4 linked regions of the Caenorhabditis elegans genome follow. The protein of the gene in region 4 purifies or fractionates together with the protein of the main gene of each other region. This does not show direct contact. Each region holds a gene or a part of one and is shown on either strand. Other genes may lie near its edges. The genes, in order: BE10.3, rnr-1, hint-1 and rmh-2.

What was found.
Region 1: the proteins of rmh-2 (region 4) and BE10.3 fractionate together in Caenorhabditis elegans (co-fractionation; one large-scale study listed by BioGRID). This does not show direct contact.
Region 2: the proteins of rmh-2 (region 4) and rnr-1 fractionate together in Caenorhabditis elegans (co-fractionation; one large-scale study listed by BioGRID). This does not show direct contact.
Region 3: the proteins of rmh-2 (region 4) and hint-1 fractionate together in Caenorhabditis elegans (co-fractionation; one large-scale study listed by BioGRID). This does not show direct contact.

The regions. Positions count from the first base shown.
Region 1 is NC_003281.10:12,806,147-12,812,894, reverse strand, and holds BE10.3 (FTH domain-containing protein), read right to left. Parts: upstream 4,870-6,748; 5' UTR 4,805-4,869; coding exon 4,742-4,804; intron 4,682-4,741; coding exon 4,583-4,681; intron 3,817-4,582; coding exon 3,629-3,816; intron 3,585-3,628; coding exon 3,466-3,584; intron 3,399-3,465; coding exon 3,233-3,398; intron 2,363-3,232; coding exon 1,384-2,362; 3' UTR 533-1,383; downstream 1-532. Other genes in the region: BE10.5 (Autism susceptibility gene 2 protein-like), read left to right, coding at 6,093-6,125, 6,192-6,366, 6,418-6,446, 6,591-6,668.
Region 2 is NC_003281.10:9,224,829-9,229,827, reverse strand, and holds rnr-1 (Ribonucleoside-diphosphate reductase large subunit), read left to right. Parts: upstream 1-1,577; 5' UTR 1,578-1,579; coding exon 1,580-1,705; intron 1,706-1,749; coding exon 1,750-2,028; intron 2,029-2,075; coding exon 2,076-2,806; intron 2,807-2,853; exon of another isoform or gene 2,854-2,978; intron 2,979-3,028; coding exon 3,029-3,679; intron 3,680-3,727; coding exon 3,728-4,307; 3' UTR 4,308-4,453; downstream 4,454-4,999. Other genes in the region: T23G5.3 (uncharacterized protein), read left to right, coding at 1-244, 298-412, 486-593. UniProt on the Caenorhabditis elegans protein: Provides the precursors necessary for DNA synthesis. Catalyzes the biosynthesis of deoxyribonucleotides from the corresponding ribonucleotides.
Region 3 is NC_003279.8:7,279,168-7,282,192, reverse strand, and holds hint-1 (Histidine triad nucleotide-binding protein 1), read left to right. Parts: upstream 1-1,865; 5' UTR 1,866-1,881; coding exon 1,882-2,004; intron 2,005-2,048; coding exon 2,049-2,186; intron 2,187-2,260; coding exon 2,261-2,392; 3' UTR 2,393-2,523; downstream 2,524-3,025. Other genes in the region: rde-2 (SH2 domain-containing protein), read left to right, coding at 9-107, 226-285, 332-733, 782-1,001, 1,047-1,454, 1,530-1,540; F21C3.7 (Small integral membrane protein), read left to right, coding at 2,584-2,698, 2,869-3,025.
Region 4 is NC_003283.11:9,927,229-9,932,410, forward strand, and holds rmh-2 (RecQ-mediated genome instability protein 1), read right to left. Parts: upstream 3,548-5,182; 5' UTR 3,515-3,547; coding exon 3,392-3,514; intron 3,332-3,391; coding exon 3,191-3,331; intron 3,146-3,190; coding exon 3,017-3,145; intron 2,967-3,016; coding exon 2,518-2,966; intron 2,473-2,517; coding exon 2,378-2,472; intron 2,332-2,377; coding exon 2,162-2,331; intron 2,118-2,161; coding exon 1,560-2,117; intron 1,492-1,559; coding exon 1,393-1,491; intron 780-1,392; coding exon 696-779; 3' UTR 553-695; downstream 1-552. Other genes in the region: C50H2.13 (uncharacterized protein), read left to right, coding at 1-90, 389-537; suds-3 (DUF2040 domain-containing protein), read left to right, coding at 3,799-3,932, 3,980-4,163, 4,564-4,759, 4,808-4,941.

The sequences.
Region 1 (6,748 bases), on a different chromosome or scaffold from region 4:
CGACACGAGGTTCTGACCGCTCCATTGAAAATCGCCCGCCGGACAACGGAAAGTCGTGTACTCCACACGGACAAATACATTTAGTTTTACAACTAAAATCGAGCCGCGACGCGACACGCAACGCGCCGTAAATCTACCCCAGATATGACCGAGCCAAACTGGCCTAACTCTTCCATTTCAATTTATGAGGGAAGCCAGAAATCCGTGAAGCGAGTTATGGTAAAACTTCATCTACGAAAATAAGATAATCGTTTTTTGTCATTTTTTAAAATTAATTGCCGTAAAAAAAATTGCCGTTTTTGAAAAACATGCGTAAACGTAGCCGGGGTACGGTAGGTACCGCAGGTAGGTACAGGCACAACTTCTCGGGCCGTGTTATGTTTAAAAAACTGAAGAAAATTTGATGAAAATTCCGCAAAATCACAAAACTTTGCGCAATTTGCGTCTGGGTGATATTTCCAAAAACTTGCCGGTGCGCCTAAAAATTTCAAAATTTTAATTTAAGAAAAACAAGGATTTTTCTTGAAAACGGAAAAATTAATTTATTTAAAAAATGAAGCAATTAAAAACTTAAATCAGAAACAAATTCAGAAAAAATTGAACAGGAAAAAACATGAAAAATTTGAAAAAAAAAAATTTTTTTCATTAAAGATGAGGTGTGGGGCAGAATTGCGCTAGTGGGGCAGAATTGCCAAATATTATAGTAAAAATTTTTTGCCATTTTATATGATTTTTTAAAAATTGAAAAAATCTCAGTTTTTCCACATTTTTGAAAGTCATCGATCAAAAAAATTAATATTCGAACCAGGGGTGGGCGGCAATTGCAGTTTGGCAAATTTTCGGCAAATTACCGGGTTGCCAATTTGCCGGAAATTTTTGTTTTCTGCAAATTTTCATAGAATTTATTTACTTTTAAAAATAGATGTAGGAACATTCATAGGAAGTCTACAATTTTGCCGATTAAAATTGAAATACAGTGATTTCCAAAAAAAAATGTGCACTAGCACAACTTGCCGAAATTTTTCCGGCAAATCGGCAATTTGCCGGTTTGCCAATTTGCCGGAAAAAAACGTTTGCAGCCCCTAATTGTTGGGTTTCAAAAATGCAACAGTGTTATAGCTTTGTGAAAAGTGGCAAAAGCTCGGTAAATACCACTTTTCAAAAATTTTGCAATAATGTTTGCTACCCTACCCTTATGGGGTTATTCAACAAGTAATGTCGGAAAATTAAAAAGTGTAGAAAAATTACGTCACAACTGTATTCAAGTATATAAAAACATGTATTTAAATACATTTCTGACGTCACAAATGTATTTAAATACATTTTGCTACATTACTTGAATAACCCCATCAAACAAAAAAAAACACAAAAAAACAAATAAAATTAAAAATGTTTCACCAGTAACTCAGGTGTCCAAAAATGTCTCAAAAATCCAGCTCCCTTAACATCAGGCCTCTTCCTGAAGAACTTCTCCAAAAATTCAATTTCAAAATAAATTTCAAAATCTATCGTGCAATTGGCCATTTCGTGTTCCAAACAAAACCTTCTTCCCTTCCAAATATGAACTTGAGTTCGATATCCAATTGATCTATCGTCTGGTATTGAGACTATATCTTTCAGGTGAAAGTAGTCTTTTGAATTTTTTTGAATTTGATCTATTGGCCCGGAGACAAGCCGAGCACCAGAATTCAAAATCTCCGGCACATTCTGTGTTCTGTAGTTGAAGACTGGAGCTGTTCTAGAAATAAGCTGTGAGCTCATTGGATAAAGCTTGACTGTTATTTTGGAATTTCTTATCGTCGGAGAGCTCGGAGAGCTTTCAATCATTCTCATGAACTTTCCGATGAACTTATTCAAGTTGAAAGGTGTCATGAGAATGTATGCCTTGGGAAGTTCCAGAGTCAAAAATTTAGTGGAAAATATTTTTTGAACATTTGAAATTAATCCATCAATTGGTGAAGGTTCTTCAGGTGACTTCAGGTATTGCTCCATTTCATCAGCGAGAAGTTCACTGAATTCCAGGCAAATATCAAGGTTTTCCAAAGAATAATTAGCTACAGATTCAAATTCTAAACCAATCAATTTCTGGTTCAAATCCAAGTCTCCAGAACTTAGATCTAGTTCTGGCAACTCTCCAAACTCAATTCTCAAATTCTTCACATTCCATTTCACCACAATCAGCTCTACGATTTGTCGCATAACTTGGAGTTGACATGGAATCCACGATTTCCTGGTTCCAAGTAGGATTGATGGCATCAGAGTCAGGGAATCACATGAAATTCTTGAATTTATATATTTATCAATTACTGCTAAATTTGATTGCGACGAATCGGCAAGCGACAAGACGATTCTATGTAGGAGTCTGTAAGGAAAACAAGTATAATTTATAGAATTTATAACTACTACAGTACTCCTATATAACTATTACAGTACCCCTACAGTAATCCTACAGTAGCCCAACCCAACTCGATATCCCATCAAAAGACAAAAAATCATTATTTCTCAAACTATGTAATCCTACAGTAATCTTACAGTACTTCTACAGTATCCTTATAGTATCCCTATAGTATAACTACAGTAATCCTACAGTACCTCATCCATATTCCTTTACTAACACCAACTCAATACTCCAAGTAAAGACAAAATCTATTTTTCTAAAAGTACAGTGATCCTACAGTACCCTACAGTACCCCTACAGTATCCCTAGAGTACTACTACATTATATCTTAGGTACTCCTACAGTACCCCTGTAGTATTACTACAGAGCTCCTACAGTACCCCTATGATATTTCCACAATACTAATATCACAGTATCCCTACAGTAATCCTTCAAAACCTCTACAGTCCTACTAAAGTAACTCCACAGTATTCTTATATAGTACAAATACCGTACTCCTACAGTACCCTTATATTATCCCCACAGTACCAATAGTACAGTATCCCTACAGTAACCCTACATTACCCCTACAGTAGTACTACAACAGTATTGTTACAGTATCCCTAAATTACCTCTACAGTACTACTACACTTTCGCTATAGCGCCCTTAAAGTACAAATATCGTACTCCTACAGCACCCCTTTAGTATCCCCACAATACTAATAGTACAGTATCTCTACAGTAATCCTACATTACCTCTACAGTACCCCTACAGTAATCCTACAGTACCACAACCATGTCCCTTCACTAACCCCAAACTCAATATCTCAATTTAACTGTTCAAACTGAACTTACGTGTCTGAAACTTCTAAATGCTCAAAATGATGTGGTGTTTTCAGTGTAATATCGAAAATATTCTCCTGAATCGGACCATATTTTCTACATCGACCGCCAATAATTCCACACTCATCTGATCCACTGCAGATATCATTCATTCCGAAAAATTCCTCTACGAGTTGGTCTGGAAATTTTTTTTTAAATGCATTTGGGACGGTTTGAAAAACAAAACAAAATCAGTAAAAACTAACCATCATTGCCAATCAAAGAATTGATGACCCTATCATGGATTTCCCTCTGATCACAAATTTTTGCAACATCCTCGACGCCAACTCTTCGAACTTTGACTCCAGCGATTTCTTTCAAAAATCTGAAAGATGTGCTCTGAACAATATAAAAAATATATATACTCACCGAAAATAATCCTCCAACTTTTCCATAGTCACCCTTTGTGGATTTATAAAAACTGAACAATCTGGACAGTTTTGCTTAGCATCTTGCTCCAAATCAAATCGACAATCGGATGCTCCTCTGATGAGCACGTCTCGGTGCTCTTGTCGGATTCTACGGAGCAAGGCGATGTTGATGTTTTTGTTGACTAGCTGGAAATTTATACGTTAAATTCTGTAGTGTTACTTGGACCATTTTTTTTTTGATTTAGCCCATAAATTATAAATTTTAAATAAATTTTTTTCTTTTCTTTGGGTTTCCTAAACCTTCAAAAAGCTTCAAGGTTGAAAAAAAGCTTCCAGAAGATCCTAGAAGTTTTAGACTATTTACATCCATTTTTTGAATTTCCCGCCAATATTTTGCGCCAAAAAAAATTTGAGCTTCTCGTCTGAATTTGGTATGGGAAAATTTTAATTACCCGCCAAAATTTGTTCTCAAAAAATTACAAAAAAATTCCGGCCTGATTTTTTTTGGGAAATTTGAATTTACCACTAAACTGTTTTCGCATAAAATTTGAACTTCCCGCCAAAAATTTGTCTTAAAAAATTTGATTTTCCTGCCAAATTACTTTTCTCCAAAAACTTTAATTTCCCGCCAAAAATTTGTCATAGAAAATTTGAATTTCCTGCCAAAATCTTTTCTCAGAAAATTTGAATTTCCCGCCAAAAATTGTTCTCAAAAAATTACAAAAAATTTCCGGCCTGATTTTTTTCGGGAAATTTGAATTTCCTGCCAAAATTGTTTTCAGAAAATTTGAATTCTCTGCAATAAAAGTTCTCAAAAAATTTCAACTTCCCGCCAAAAAATTATCATTAAAAAAATTGAATTTTCTGCCAAAATTGTTTTCAGAAAATTTGAATTACCTGCCAAATTATCATATTTTTCTCTCTGAGAATTTTAATTTTCTACAGAACTCACTCTTAGATCTAATTTGCCCATCGCATCTGTCGAAACATTTTCCAATATTTTTTCAAGAATTTTCACGTTCTCAAAAACTTTGGAAATTAATTCGACGTTCTGAAAATTGAAGTAAAAATATTAAATTATTTATTTTTTGTAATAAAATAAAAATCTTACATCAGTAGGCTTCATCAAAATCTCCGGAATTTGATATCCGTACACAAAACTGTTGAGCAGCATGCAGTCGCTGTCTCCACAGCAAAACGAATCAGAAGGTCTCATTAGAGAGGTGAATGCAGTTCAAATAAGAATAAAGGGAGATAGAACAGACAATGAAAACGGCTACGTCATTATATTGATCGGGCCCTTTTCAGGCTCTGGGGAGGTTACCGAGCACTATCTGGTCGAGAATAGATCGATATGTAAATGTAGCTAGGTTTGTAGCTAGGTTTTTTGTGTGACCGGGAAGATTGGTGCACCTCTTGATTGAGAAACATTTCCCAATATTGTTTTTTTAGGACATTTCATCAAATCAAAACTAAAAACATTGCCAAGGATATGCTAGATTTTCCAAAAACTGAAAAGTATCGGCAGTCCTGAAATAGGCACGTAGGTAGGCAGAGAGATGATCATAATGTAGGCCAGTAGACACGTATGTAGGCATCCAGGCGTTGTCTAGGCGAGAAGGCAAGCAGGCGTTATGTAGGCCAGTAGGCACGTAGGTAGGCATCTAGGTGTTATATAGGCAAGAAGGCAAACAGGAGTTATGTAGGCCAGTAGGTAAGCATGAGTTAAGAAGGCAAGAAGACTAGCAGGCGTTATGTAGGCGAGTAGGCAATGAGGCGCTATGTAGGCGAGAAGGCTAGCAGGCGTAATGTAGACGGAAAGACATCCAGACTTTGTACGTGCGAGTAGGCTAACAGGCATTATGTAGGCGAGAAGGCTAGCAGGCGATATGTAGGCGAGAAGGCTAACAGGCGTTATGTAGGCGAGTCGGCAAAAAACTGTTTTGTAGGAAAGAAGACAAGCAGGCGTTATGTACGCGAGTAGGCACGTAGGTAGGCATCCAGGTGTTATATAGGCGAGAAGGCAAACAGGCGTTGTGTAGGCCAGTAGGTAAGTAGGCGTTATGTACGCGAGTAAGCACGTAGGTAGGCATCCAGGTGTTATATAGGCGAGAAGGCAAACAGGCGTTGTGTAGGCCAGTAGGTAAGTAGGCGTTGTGTTGGCGAGAAGGCACGTATGTAGGCATCCAGGCGTTATCTAGGCAAGAAGGCCAGCAGGCGTTATGTAGGCGAAAAGGCAAGCAGGCGTTATGTCCAGGCAAAACCGGTTGGCGTGAAATTTAAGACATTTTTAAATTTAAAAATTAAAAAATAATTTGACGTCAATTTTTTTTTCTTAATTTATTTTTTTCTAATTCTTGATAAAAATGCCCATTTATTGAAATTCAAAAAAAAAATCAATCATTTCATAAATTTTCAATTTGTATCGCTGTGAGCAAATATCGTATTGAAGGTGTGACAATATGTGCTTCTGTAGAAGGAAAACTAAGAGTAAGGTACGTCAAGTATAGGCTAGTAGGCAGGTAGGCAGGCAGGCCTTTTTTAAACCGTTTTTCATTCAGGAAGATACAGTTGATTCGAGTAAAAAAGGAGAGAATCGTCATGACCAGCCGCTTGCTCCGCAGCCAGCTCAGCCGGGGGCCCCACTCACTCCGGATAGGCGGACCGAGAAGAAGCAGCTGAAAAGCGGCAAAAGTGCTCCAATGGATGTTCGTTTCAGTAAGAAGAAGTCGAGAAGTAAGTTGATTTTGTAATCTTTCGAAAAAAAAATTAAATTTTAATTTTCAGAAGTCCGCGAAGATGACACCGTTTCGAATGTAAGTCGCGTGGTGTCCGGGTGTCCCATATGAGTTTGATCTACAAAAAATGCGGAAAATGCGGAGAAAAATTCCCGCATTTTTGGTAGATCAAACCGTGATGGGTCAGCCAGGCTTTTTGAGTTAACCTTTTCATTTGTTCAGATTCCCGAGGAGATGCCCGATTTGGTAATTATTCGAGAACACACGGAACCCTTCTATACGGATGACCAACTCATGTAGATAGTCCTTTGGAAAATTTATTAATGATCTTGAATAAAGTGCATTACATTTCCGCCCGCAACGCTTTTTGCACGCCTTTT
Region 2 (4,999 bases), on a different chromosome or scaffold from region 4:
CTTGCCCACCTGAACTTCCATCAACTCCAATACCGAACCAAATCTTGACCCAAAAAGAAAATGTTCCGATTGTCCCACGTAATCTTCTTCTTTCGAAACCACCTCCACCTCCACCACCACCACTTCCGTCATTGATGCAGCCGAAGGATACTGTACAAATTCCGATGAGAAAACCTCCAACTGGCAGAAATTCCAAAAAAATTAAAACGTCTGCAGATTCGATTAGTCTTCCAAGGAACTTTACGTGAGATTTGGATATCTTTTATCTATTAATTACTTACAAAAGTTTATTTTCAGACATATTGCACATGTTGGTTGGAATGGTGCATCGGTACTTTTTGATAAGAAAATGACTGATGATCCGACTGTGAGGAAAATCTGTGATGCTGCTGCAGAGGCAGTTGATCTTAGTGTGAGTAACTTTCTTGAAAATTAGTAGAATATCTATAGAATTATAAAATTAAAATTCATTTATCTATTTTCAGGCGGTATACAATGTTGTCAACAAAAATGCGGATGAGGAGAGCCATAGCGTGGAAGTGCTCATAACTGGAGGATTAATGCAGTCAAGAGATGGAACATCTCGTCACTAACCATTTGAATATATCTGTGTCAAAATAAATTATTTATGTCATGTCTTGCATGCCAACAGATACGCGTTTTTCGAATTTTCGAAAATTCGCAATCACAGCTGGTGGTTTTTTATTGTCTGAATTGACCGACAGCAAATTTTAGTGATCTCTGACAAAACATCAGAAAATAAAAAACTACGCTTTTTTGTCCGCAGTTTGAAAATTTAAGGAAAAACTGAATATAAATATTATTTCATCGAAACATGTTTTTTTCTTTAAAAAATTACCGTACTCTTTCAAAGGCGCACGCATAAAGTTTTTAAATACAATATTTCGTGTCGAGACCATTACAGTAACCCGCGGCAAAATTGTGTTTTACAGCTTTTATTTTCGGGGTTTCTTCTGATCTTATGCATTTTTATGTGGTTTTATTTTGAATTTTACGTTTTTTTTTAAATTTCAGAGCAATGAAATGCGATTATCGGACTTGTCCTAAAGGGCGGAGCCATGGTTAGAGGCGGTGCTTGTGGTGCCGAAGGGTATAAATAGATTTTTTCCTCACACAGAAAACTAAACACATTTTTTGTTTAAATGAAATTCTTCAGCTGTGAATTAATATTTCATTTCAAACTGCCGTAGTTAGAAATGCTCAGGACCGTGGATTTTCGGTTTGAATTTCTAGGCCAATTTTGTGTGTTTCGACATTAGCTCACTTCTATCAGAAAACCATATTGAAGCCAGAATTCGTAGGAAAATATAATGTATTCTGTTTCACTGTAATACTTGTTTTTTCTATGAGACCAAGATTTCAATAATTCGTTTTCCTTTTGAATTTGAATTCCGATGGAGCGCGTTTGTTTGGTCTGCGTCTCGTTTTCGCGCGTTCCTCTATTACCTAGGCGCGAAAACTAGTAAATTTGAGATGAACTGGTCATTTGAAAATTCTCTCCGCTCCTCCATTTTCACTCTTTTCTTCTCAAATTGTTAATAATTCATCTTTTCCAGTTATGCAACGTTACAACAGCACTTATGTTGTCAAGCGGGATGGGCGAAAGGAAGATGTACACTTCGACAAGATCACTTCCAGAATTCAGAAGCTGAGCTATGGATTGAACATGGATTTTGTCGATCCGGTTTGTTATTAAACACAAGTTCAATGATGAATTAAATTTTCCAGGTCGCTGTTGCAATCAAAGTTATCAGTGGCTTGTACAAAGGAGTGACAACTGTTGAGTTGGATAATCTTGCTGCAGAGACTGCTGCTTCCATGACCACACAACATCCGGAATATGCTCTTCTTGCCGCTCGAATCGCCGTTTCGAACTTGCACAAGAAAACGAATAAGGTGTTCTCGGAAGTTATGAAAACCCTTCACGAGTTCCATCATCCTCATACCGGAAAACACGCACCAATGATCAGTGATGAGACTTGGGCTATCATTGAGAAGAATGCTGATGTTAGTTTTCCTAGGAATTGCATTTATTCAAAAAAATTTCATTTCAGAAGCTGAATTCCGCCATCGTCTACGATCGTGACTATTCCTACACCTATTTCGGATTCAAAACACTGGAGCGTTCCTACCTTCTCAAGATAAACAAGGAGATTGTCGAGCGCCCACAGCAGATGTTGATGCGTGTTTCTATTGGAATCCATGGAGATGATATTACTTCCGCAATCGAGACCTATAATCTGATGTCGGAGCGTTACATGACCCATGCGTCCCCAACTCTCTTCAATTCGGGAACATGCCGTCCTCAGATGTCTTCATGCTTCCTTCTGACAATGAGTGAAGACTCCATTCTCGGAATCTACGATACATTGAAGCAGTGTGCTCTTATTTCAAAAAGTGCCGGAGGAATCGGACTCAATGTTCACAAAATTCGCGCCACTGGATCTGTGATCGCTGGAACTAATGGAACATCTAACGGACTCATACCAATGCTTCGTGTCTACAATAATACTGCTCGTTATGTTGATCAAGGAGGAAACAAACGCCCAGGAGCATTTGCTATTTACCTGGAGCCATGGCACGCCGATATCTTCGAGTTTGTATCTCTCCGCAAGAACACTGGACCGGAAGAGGAACGTGCCAGAGACCTGTTCCTTGCTCTTTGGATTCCAGATCTCTTTATGAAGCGAGTCGAGAAGGATCAAGAATGGTCGTTGATGTGCCCATGTGAATGTCCAGGACTTGATGATTGCTGGGGAGAGGAGTTCGAAGCTCTTTACGCCAAGTAAGTATCTCCTGGTTCTTATTTTTTTAATTACCGAAGTGCGATATCCAGACAGAACTTTAAGAGTACTGCTTGGACTGAGTTTACTAACTTCGAATATGAAATAGTTGATCGATAACCGGAATATACTCAAAAAAAAAGGTGTGCTCCGGACAAAAATCAACTAACAAAAACTTTTAAACAGTGAAGTTAAATTTGCAAAGTTCATATCAAAATTTCCAGATACGAAGCCGAGGGACGAGTCCGCAAAACGGTGAAGGCCCGCAAGCTCTGGGAGCACATCGTTTCCAACCAAATCGAGACCGGGCTTCCATACATCACCTACAAAGATGCCGCCAATCGCAAGTCTAACCAGCAAAATCTTGGAACTATCAAGTGTTCCAACTTGTGCACTGAAATCATAGAGTACTCTGCTCCAGATGAGATTGCAGTTTGCAACCTTGCTTCCATTGCTCTCAATCGCTACGTGACCCCCGAGAAAAAGTTCGACTTCGTCAAACTGGCTGAGGTGACTAAAGTTATAACCAGAAATTTGAATAAGATTATTGACGTCAACTACTATCCAGTCGAGGAGGCTCGCAACTCTAATATGCGCCATCGCCCAATCGGGCTTGGTGTCCAAGGACTCGCTGATTGCTTCATGTTGATGCGTTACCCATTCACTTCGGCAGAAGCCAGAGATCTCAACAAACGAATCTTCGAAACCATCTACTACGCTGCATTGGAAGCCAGTTGTGAATTGGCTGAGTTGAATGGACCATACTCGACATACGAAGGATCTCCAGTATCGAAAGGACAGCTTCAATTTGATATGTGGGGAGTCACTCCAACCGATCAATGCGATTGGGCCACTCTTCGCAAGAAAATTGCAAAGTAAGATTAAAATACTCTTTCGAATCTGATTAAACTACTTATTTACAGGCATGGTATCCGCAACAGTCTTCTGATGGCTCCAATGCCAACTGCTTCCACTGCTCAAATTCTCGGAAACAATGAATCCATCGAGCCATACACTTCGAACATCTACTCTCGCCGTGTTCTTTCTGGAGATTTCCAGATTGTGAATCCTCACATGCTCAAGGATTTGGTGGAAAGAGGATTGTGGACTGATGAGATGAAGAATCGTCTGATTGCCAACAATGGATCCATTCAAAACATTGATGGAATTCCATCCGACATCAAGGAACTTTATCGCACAGTGTGGGAGATCTCTCAAAAAGACATTATTGAGATGGCTGCTGATCGTGGAGCATACATTGATCAATCCCAATCTCTTAACATTCACATGGCCAAGCCAAGCTACGCCGGTATCACATCAATGCATTTCTACGGATGGAAGAAGGGACTCAAGACTGGAATGTACTATTTGCGTACCAAGCCAGCTGTCAATGCAGTTCAATTCACTGTGGATAAGAATGCGCTGAAAACTAACCAACAAGCTGAGACGCCAGCCACCGTGGCCGAGTCGCAAGATGAAGGATGCCTCATGTGCTCCGGATAATCATTTTTTCTTTCACCCGTTGATCATGTTTGTACATTCCCAAATTGCTCACTTTTTCACTTTAATCTGTTATACTGATAACCCTATTTTGCTCGCGGTTACTCATTTTTTCTAAAGTTTTAATGGTCAATAAACTGACAATCTGAGTCCTCGAGCGATTTGAATTGCAGGAGCTGAAAAATGTGGAACCGTGTTAGGTTTACATCCGAAACTTCGGAAGTTTTCCTCTTCTCATGCTCTAGTAGTTTTTTTCCTAAATACTCTCTCAGCAACATCATGGTGCAACAAAAGTGGGTCTCGACTGAAGGTGTACGTGGGTAATGTTTAGTGAACCGTCAATCGAGCAGATTTCAAATGCGCCCTTTCGATTCTCTTTTCGTGTGCTCAATGAGCCGGAATAGAAACATTGAACTATGCGTAGAGCTCCTCTCGTCAGATGGGCCCCCGGTTCTTAGCGAGATTAGCTTGATTCTTGGTTTTTTTGCTCATTGCTCTTTTTTTCAAATAAACTACTACTCGTTTCCTCCCTGTCTCGTCATTGGAAGCTGTTCATCGTCTCTTTTGTCTTTTTTTGGGTTCTTTTTCCGTTTTTGCTCATTTCGACTTCAAAACGATTGATGACTTTGTTTCGGTTTGGCTTTTTTGGCTCAGAAGAGCACTCAGAGAAGCTATGAGACACACGAAATGATGAA
Region 3 (3,025 bases), on a different chromosome or scaffold from region 4:
TATTGCAGGCTCAAGCATCTCTGGCAGGTTGGGTCGCATTGAGTGTGCATGAAGATCCACAAAAGCTACACACCTGTGATGCTGTAAGCCGAAATGGATATCAATCAGTATGTGGCAAAAGTGTCCTGGTTCATTTTGAATTGTTCACATTTTGGTTTTTGCTTATCAAAATTTCCCAGAACATATAAGCCACAACCTCCTGCAGTTTACATAATATAATTTCAGCTCCCGAATCCAGTCGTTGATTCTGATGTACAGTATCTTCATGATACAAGACTGTTGGATGTATGTGACTTATAGTTCAGAATTTTTCAAGTAATCACATTTTTAGATTATGACTGGTAATGGATATGTTCAAACACCCGAAACCGACGTACAAGATCAACAATCAAGTCAACATCAAGAAGACGTGCATTCTCAAATGAACTCGCAGACATCTGATTCGTACAATTCCTCTAGAGTTGTGTCAGAGAATCGGGAAATACCTCCGGAAACTTTTCGAAGCCAAAGTATCGAATTGAATCAAGTTGATTCATCCTTGTCCCAGACTACAATCTCAAGTCGAGCAGCACCAGTTATTGATTCAAATCAGTTATCAGATGAAGATGAAATTGATGATGAAGATACATACGGAACACGTGGAACATCTAATATTCCGATGAGACCGTTTATTAAAGATTTAGCTCCAACGATGCTTCAACTGCTTCGTCAAGATAAAACTGATTCCGAAAAAGTACGTAATGCCAGAACAATAATATTAATCTTCATCACCATATTTCAGCCTCAATCTGCTTTATGCACCGTTGTGCAAAAAATCGATGGCTTTGCAATTTTGTACACAGCCAAAAGAGACGTTATAAACGTTTTGCTTCAAGAAAGATCGTGTGAAGGATTGGAAAGATCCCCTCAACTCGGAGACGTGGCATTCTTCGATATCTTGCCTCGTAGAATTGAAACAAAAGATAGGCTCATTTTCAAGATTCCATATACACATATTGCAGGTATTTTACAATTTACCAATGTTTTAAAAAAACTTTAATTTTAAGTGAAAAAGAAACCAGACACGCCAGATTCTCTCCTTAAAATTGATTGCTTTAAAAACTCGGTCAGATGCTTCGGAGGAGTGCTTGAAATGAAAGTAAAAATCGCACTTTCAAAACCTGAACTAGTAGTGGAGCAATATCATGACAACACAGAGATGAACTCGGATCATCATTTTTATTATTTGAAAGCAACAAATGGAGTACTTGTCACAATTCCAAAAGAACGTCTTCTGAATCATTTGAATTCGAAATTATCAGCAGATTTTGACCTAATCGCGTGGGTTGTTCATCGAAAACCAATTGGAAATGTTTCATTACATATTGGAAAGGGAGGTGAAGCTTATCAACAGTTCACAAATGGAGATATTCGAGAGCTTCCGCCATTGTCTTCTAATCAATATTTCATGAATGGTAAGTAAGAGGGAAACCGAGTTTTCGAAGAAACCTAGGAGAATTCTTGGTTTTCTATTCAAATTATTATTTCAGTTCGAAAGTAAAAACTGCACAATCGACAAATCACGTTATGGGTTCAAATTGTATTCTGGTACATTAATTCTTGTTCTTGTGTTAACTTTTTTGATTATTTTTTGTATCATTTTACTGATTAAAGCATTTATTTTCACATGTTTATTGTTTATTTCTCGTTGTCTAGCGTTTTCATCGTTTGAAATATATTGCATATTGGTTATTTTTTGCCCATTTTTCAATATTTTAGTATGGCTTCCTCTTTGGTTAAAACCGCTTTGCGTCTTGCTTACCGTAATCCAGTTAGGTCAGGGTTACTGTAGGCAAGGTGTCTTTATCGATTCCACCATTTTTCAGGTTTACAAAGAGAAACATGTCGGAAGTAGATAAAGCCCACTTGGCGGCAATTAACAAAGATGTTCAAGCCAACGACACTCTTTTCGGAAAAATAATTCGAAAAGAGATTCCAGCGAAAATCATTTTTGAAGATGATGAGGTATGTAAGATCAGGCAAACGATCACATAAAATATTTATTTAAGGCTCTCGCATTCCATGATGTCTCTCCACAAGCTCCAATTCATTTTCTTGTGATCCCTAAGCGTCGCATTGATATGCTCGAGAATGCCGTTGATTCGGATGCTGCGCTTATTGGAAAGCTTATGGTTACTGCTTCAAAGGTAATTATAAATGAGTAAAAACGAATTTGAAAATCCAGAAATCTCCATTATATTACTCTTAAATAAAATTCCAGGTTGCAAAGCAGCTCGGCATGGCCAATGGATACCGTGTTGTTGTGAACAATGGAAAAGATGGAGCTCAATCAGTTTTCCATCTTCATCTCCACGTTTTGGGAGGACGTCAGCTCCAATGGCCACCTGGATAAATATTGCATTGCTTACATTCTGCCACTAATTCATTATCAGTCTTGTAAACAAATCAGTAAAAAATTATATTTATATTTATTTCCAAAACTATTTTAAACCGTGGCATCATGTTTTTTGAAATAAATGCATTCTTTTTCTTCTATCTGACGTGTTCAATTATTGAAACAATTAATCATTTCTGGTATAAAATATGACGCTGTACGATAAAGTGAAATCAATTCTGACGATTCCTGACAAAAATAGTAACGATTCGATCGTCAACGCAACTGACTTGTACTTGGAGTGGGAGAAAGGAGACGGGCAGTGTAAGTGTCACGTGTTTCAATGGCAAAGAAAGAGTTTTTAAATGTCATGAAATATGAATGTCGCCGGGCCCGGTTAGCTCAGCCGGTAGAGCACCAGACTCTTAATCTGGTTGTCGCGGGTTCGAGCCCCGCATTGGGCTGATCTTTTTGTATAGTTCAATTTTTTTCAGATCTTCTTCCACTCTTATTGATTTTCGTTATCTTCTTTTGCATAACTTGCGGTGTGTTTCAAGCTTTGTTGAGCCTTGTGGTTCTCTGTATCAGAAGCCTTTGCGGATTTGATGAGGAAGATGAAAACTTCAATATCAATGGAAACCACTTTGCTAG
Region 4 (5,182 bases):
AGACAATCAGACCTCCAGCGATATCGACATCTGAAATATTTAATGAACCTCCACCAGTGTACATCTATCGAGTTATTCCACCCCATGAGAGTAAGTTTCTCTAAAATTATTTCTCCTGCAAGATTTTTGAGGCATATCTCATTTCTCGTTACCTATTGTATAACGGGAATACAAATTCTGAAAATTCGTATTGGGAAACATATTTGAGGATATTTGAGGAAAAGGAATTCATTTCGAAAACCGAGCCCGTAAATCGACACAAGCGCTACAGTAGTCATTGAAAGAATTATTGTAGTTTTCGCTACGAGATATTTAGCGCGTCGCGCAATACGAATTCTCAGAAATGGGTGTACTCCTTATATCATAGTACGGATTTCCCAAATTTCAGGAAATATAACCTCGAAGAAACCACCAAATAAAGTGCTGGAATATCTGAAAGGACACAAGCACACACTGATTGCCTGGACCTTTGGAATATTCGCAGTCACACTATGCACAGTTGTCGTTGTATTGCAGTGCAAATCTAATTTTAAATAATAATCAAATATGATGTACATACTGTATTCTGTGAATATTCATACAAATCTTAAAGACATCATAACTGACCCATCGAATTGGTGAGCACATAATATTGATAATAAAATTGAATGTAACCTAATTCTCGAACATGTAACAGAAAAAACATGAAAAATTATTCAATAGACATCGATTAGCTCTGATAATGTTTTAATTGATCTTACGACGGGGCAAGGCGACAATGTACCAGCGAAGAATTCGATCTGAAAATTGAAAAAAAGGTTAAGAGCATGTAAAAATTTCCATTTTTCACTTCAGAATTTCGTAAATGTCAACGCCAAAGTGATATTTTCTTCCAACTTATTGTCACATGACGATCGAGTGAAAAAAGTTCCACGGCACAAGAAAAGGGAAGGAGGTCGTAAAGATAAGGAAACGGTGGGTAAAAGGTAGAATTTTATAGATTTGTTTATTAGAAGAAGAGTGGACATCAGAAGCACAAAGGGTGGAAAAATCATTGCAAAATTTAAATTTTTTAAAGATTAAACTTTTTTGTGTTTTTATATTCTAGGACTATTCAAAGAGGGAGTAAATAGCGTGAAGGAAGATTTTTCTTTTAAAAAATCCAAAATTGTTTTGAATTCAGAAATACTAAAAATCGAAGAATAATGAAAATCCAACTCCATAGGGAATTCAGCCAAAGTTATAAATTAGTGTTTTTTAAAGTTGGATTTTTCATTTTTTCCGGATTTTATTTTTCATTTTTCTTTGTGGGTTTTTTTTAATTCAGCGAGCCAAATTCACGCTAAACCACTTTTAAGAAATCTTCGAGAGCCAATAAATATATTTTAATCATTTTTATTTGTGAACCAATACCTCGAAAACAAGATCCAATCTTTGCAACTGATGTTCCAAAGCGTTCAGCCGCATTTTTCCATTTAACCTCTTTTCCGCATCTTTGGATTTTCGAATTGTCTAAATATAATTAATAATTCACAAAGAAGGTTCAGTTTTCAAGTTTTTAAAATTTTCAAAAAACCTACCGAAGCTTCTTCACAGGAAAATCCAATTAGATTTTGAAGGGTTCGATTGTCAATTAATGCATTAACGGATGTCCAACAATCTTTTAAATGCACTTTCATTGTCCACATTTTGTCAACAACTCGCAATTGTTCTGTTATATCTTCAATGAAAGCAAGAAGAATAAATCGTTTTGATCCTATTGAATATTTCATTTTCTTCATACTTTCCGCCAATGATGACAAATTAAGCTTAGAGAATGCATCCATAGCTTGACGTTCTTCACTATTCATTCGAGTATTTTCTTCATCAAGCTCTGAGTTTATAGTTTCCTCTTCAAATAATTTTTCCTTTTTGACAGGTTGGGACGGGGAAACTAATTCAATAATTTGAATATCATCATCACTTTCTGGTTCTGATTTGATTTTCTTCTTTGGTGGTTGTGATATTGATTTAAATGGATTTTTCGTTGATGTCGAAGGGCAGGACACTGGTTCCTCATCTTTTTCAATCATATTTTCAAGAATTTCGTCCATTGGATCGACTCTACGGGATGTTAGCATTCCAGATATTCGACGGGTCTAGAAAATTCAATTTTAAAAAATTTCTAACTTTAAAAACATACGACATCCATCGGTGGTGAGCGTATTGAATTTCGCTTTTTCGGTGATCGATTGGTCATTCGCCGATTCAAATCAAAATCTTCCGTGTCATCTTTCATTTTACTCAATAGAGAAGAAACAAGAACTGAATCATTTTTAGCTTTCATGGAAGTTGACTGACGATTATCATATTCTTAAAATTATAATTTAAATTGGGAAAACTAATGCAAATAACCAACCAATGTTCTCATTTTCAAAGTCATAATCACCATCCTCGTCATTAAAAATATCAGGGGATATTTCACGCGTTTCTGGTTCTTTTGAAGTGGAAGGTCTGGAAGGATAACTTTAAAATGTGTTTTTCTTCTAGAAAACTAACGGGCATTGTTTCTTTTGAAAATATCTACTGATCAACGAAGATGGACCTGAAGCAGGCTGAACTGGATCAGGACGATCAATGAATTTCGGCAAAGAAGAATCAATGACAGAGTTAGTGACAGTTCGAATACTATCCGTATTGGAATTCATAGTTGTTTTAACTTCTTCCTTCTTTTTCGCAGATAGGTTTAAACTTTTGATACCCAAAAGTCGTGCATATTGATCTACTGGTACGAACGAATTTAATTGCGGAAGAACTTGTCCACCTAGAACTTTACAATTATTTCGCTTCAACAGAAAGGTTCCTTTTCGAATTGCACATGGTGGAACGATAAGAATTTTGGTTCCAGGTTTATAATGTAGAGAGAGCTGGGGACATTTCCAAAATTCAATCGCCTTCAACGTTGTTTCTCCATCAAATAGGGTCAGTTTCAAAAGACGTGAAGGTTTCTGGAATCTGTATTTTCTTATTCATCACTATTAGCAATATTCAAATTTACCTGATCGGTATCGTTGTCTTTCTCGTGGAATACTTTTTCAAAGCCAGATTGGTCTTCCTTTTGTCCATTCCCACTCATTGAACAATACTGTTGATAATATGGACTGCCGACATCAATGAACCCATTAATCTGAAAATTAAACCGATGATGTCTCTGAACTTTATTTTTAATTACCTGACAAACGATTGGACCTTGAAGGTTTTGTTTCGCAACGGTCTCTTCAATTCCATGGTTGCCAAATACGGGAAACGATGAACTTTCAATACTCGAACAAATCCATTGATCCAACACCAGATTTGCAAATTTTTCATCGTCCTTAAATAAATCATATTATTCGAATTTTTAAAAATATATCTTTCTGAAAAGTCGACTTACAAAATGTTTTGCTTGTGGTTTCTGGTTATTTAAAAACTCAATAACTGTCGTTAGCCACTCATCTTTTAATAGAATATGCCGGTCGCTGAAATATTGAAGCAGAAACGTGCATCTGGAACTCATGAGACAAATTTTGTTCAAAAATAAATAATTGGCGGTGAAACATGACCCGCGCACCAATGTTGCGGTGTCTGTGCGCGGCGGTTGCAGTGTGGGTTTACGGAGCTCCACCTACTTTATTGGACGCATTTTCAAATTTATTTTTTTCTCATAAAATTCAATTCTTGCTTAGATATTGTGGTGTATTTATGTTTTCGCATTGATTTGCAATAATTGAAGCTTGAAGTTATTATTTTCATAAAAAATCTTATCCTCTATCACACATTTCTAATTAATTTCAGTTAAAAATGTCAGACAATTTTGGAAAGCGGAAACGAGGTGGAAAACGTGATCGCGGAACTCCAAGACTTCCCATCAGACGACCACCTTCTGAAGAACCAGCACCATTAGAACATCTTACACAAGAGGAATATGAACGGAAGTATGTATTTCGTTGGAAATAATAAAAACTTCGTTTTTTTTTTCCAGAAAGACGGACATTCTCCGGCGGGCTGTCCTTGCAGAAAGTCAATATATTGCACTACGAACACAATTAAGAGACAACAAATTTCGAGAAGCAAGAGAATATAAGGCCAATGTTGCCGCCGGAACTGATCCCGAACTTTTAGCTGCGAAACGAGAAGCTGAAGATGCGCTCTCCAAGAAACTTGATGTAAGATTTCCTTTTTAATGTCTCAGGCACAAAATTAAGCTATTGTTACCACAAGAATTGCAAGTTTTGGGTACGTATGTAGTAGCCATACCCGTAAAATTAATTTTTCATTCATTTATTGTTAAAATGGTAATTTAATAGAAACGTGAGGGCAGGCTGCTTTTTTAGGCTTAAACTAATCAAAAATCACGGTAATGTTTTTATTAGTTATAATTTTGGGTACGGTTCCTACATAAGTACCAAGTTTCGATTTATCCTTCCAGAATTCAAAAAAAAGAGTACTTTAAAAAATTGAAAAAGGCAGCTATAGCCGAAATATTTAATTGCTGAAATGCGGTTTTCCGAATAGCAATCGCCGTCTACCCAGTCGTGACTGATTTTTAAATAGTCCAATTTTCAGATCAATCAAGCAAAATATGAACTCAAAATGGCCCAAATTCTTGACGAATATGAGGCCGAAACAGCTATGAACGAGACTCAACACGAAGATAAATATGTATATGCTAAAGGTCGTTACATTGATTTTTTCAAAGAGTTGATAGCAGAAAAGGAGAAACGAGAGCGAGAAGTTGGAATGCTTCTAGGTGCTTATCTCAGTAAGAACTAAACACCTCTTAATTTTAACTTCATGTATAATATTTCAGCCCTCCCACCACTCGGAAATGAAACAACTGAAAAACCGGTTTTCAAGGATGTTGTTTTCAAAGGAAGGCACACGAGAAGCAGGAGCAAATCCCAAAAACAAGATGACGAGAGCGTTCCGCAGTCCCTAAATTGAATTGAAAATTGATCAAGAATGTGTACACTAATTACTTATTTTATTTATTTTATTTCACGGTTAAATTAATTGTAAATACACTGCCTAAAATTGAATCGAAAATTCAATAGTAACATCTCCTGTGAAATGAAAGGATTTGAAGATGATACTTTTCCGAAATTTATGATATGTTATATAATGAAATTCGTGAATTTGCATATCCCAGAGAACGAGTCTGAAACAATATAGATGCCTGTATTGG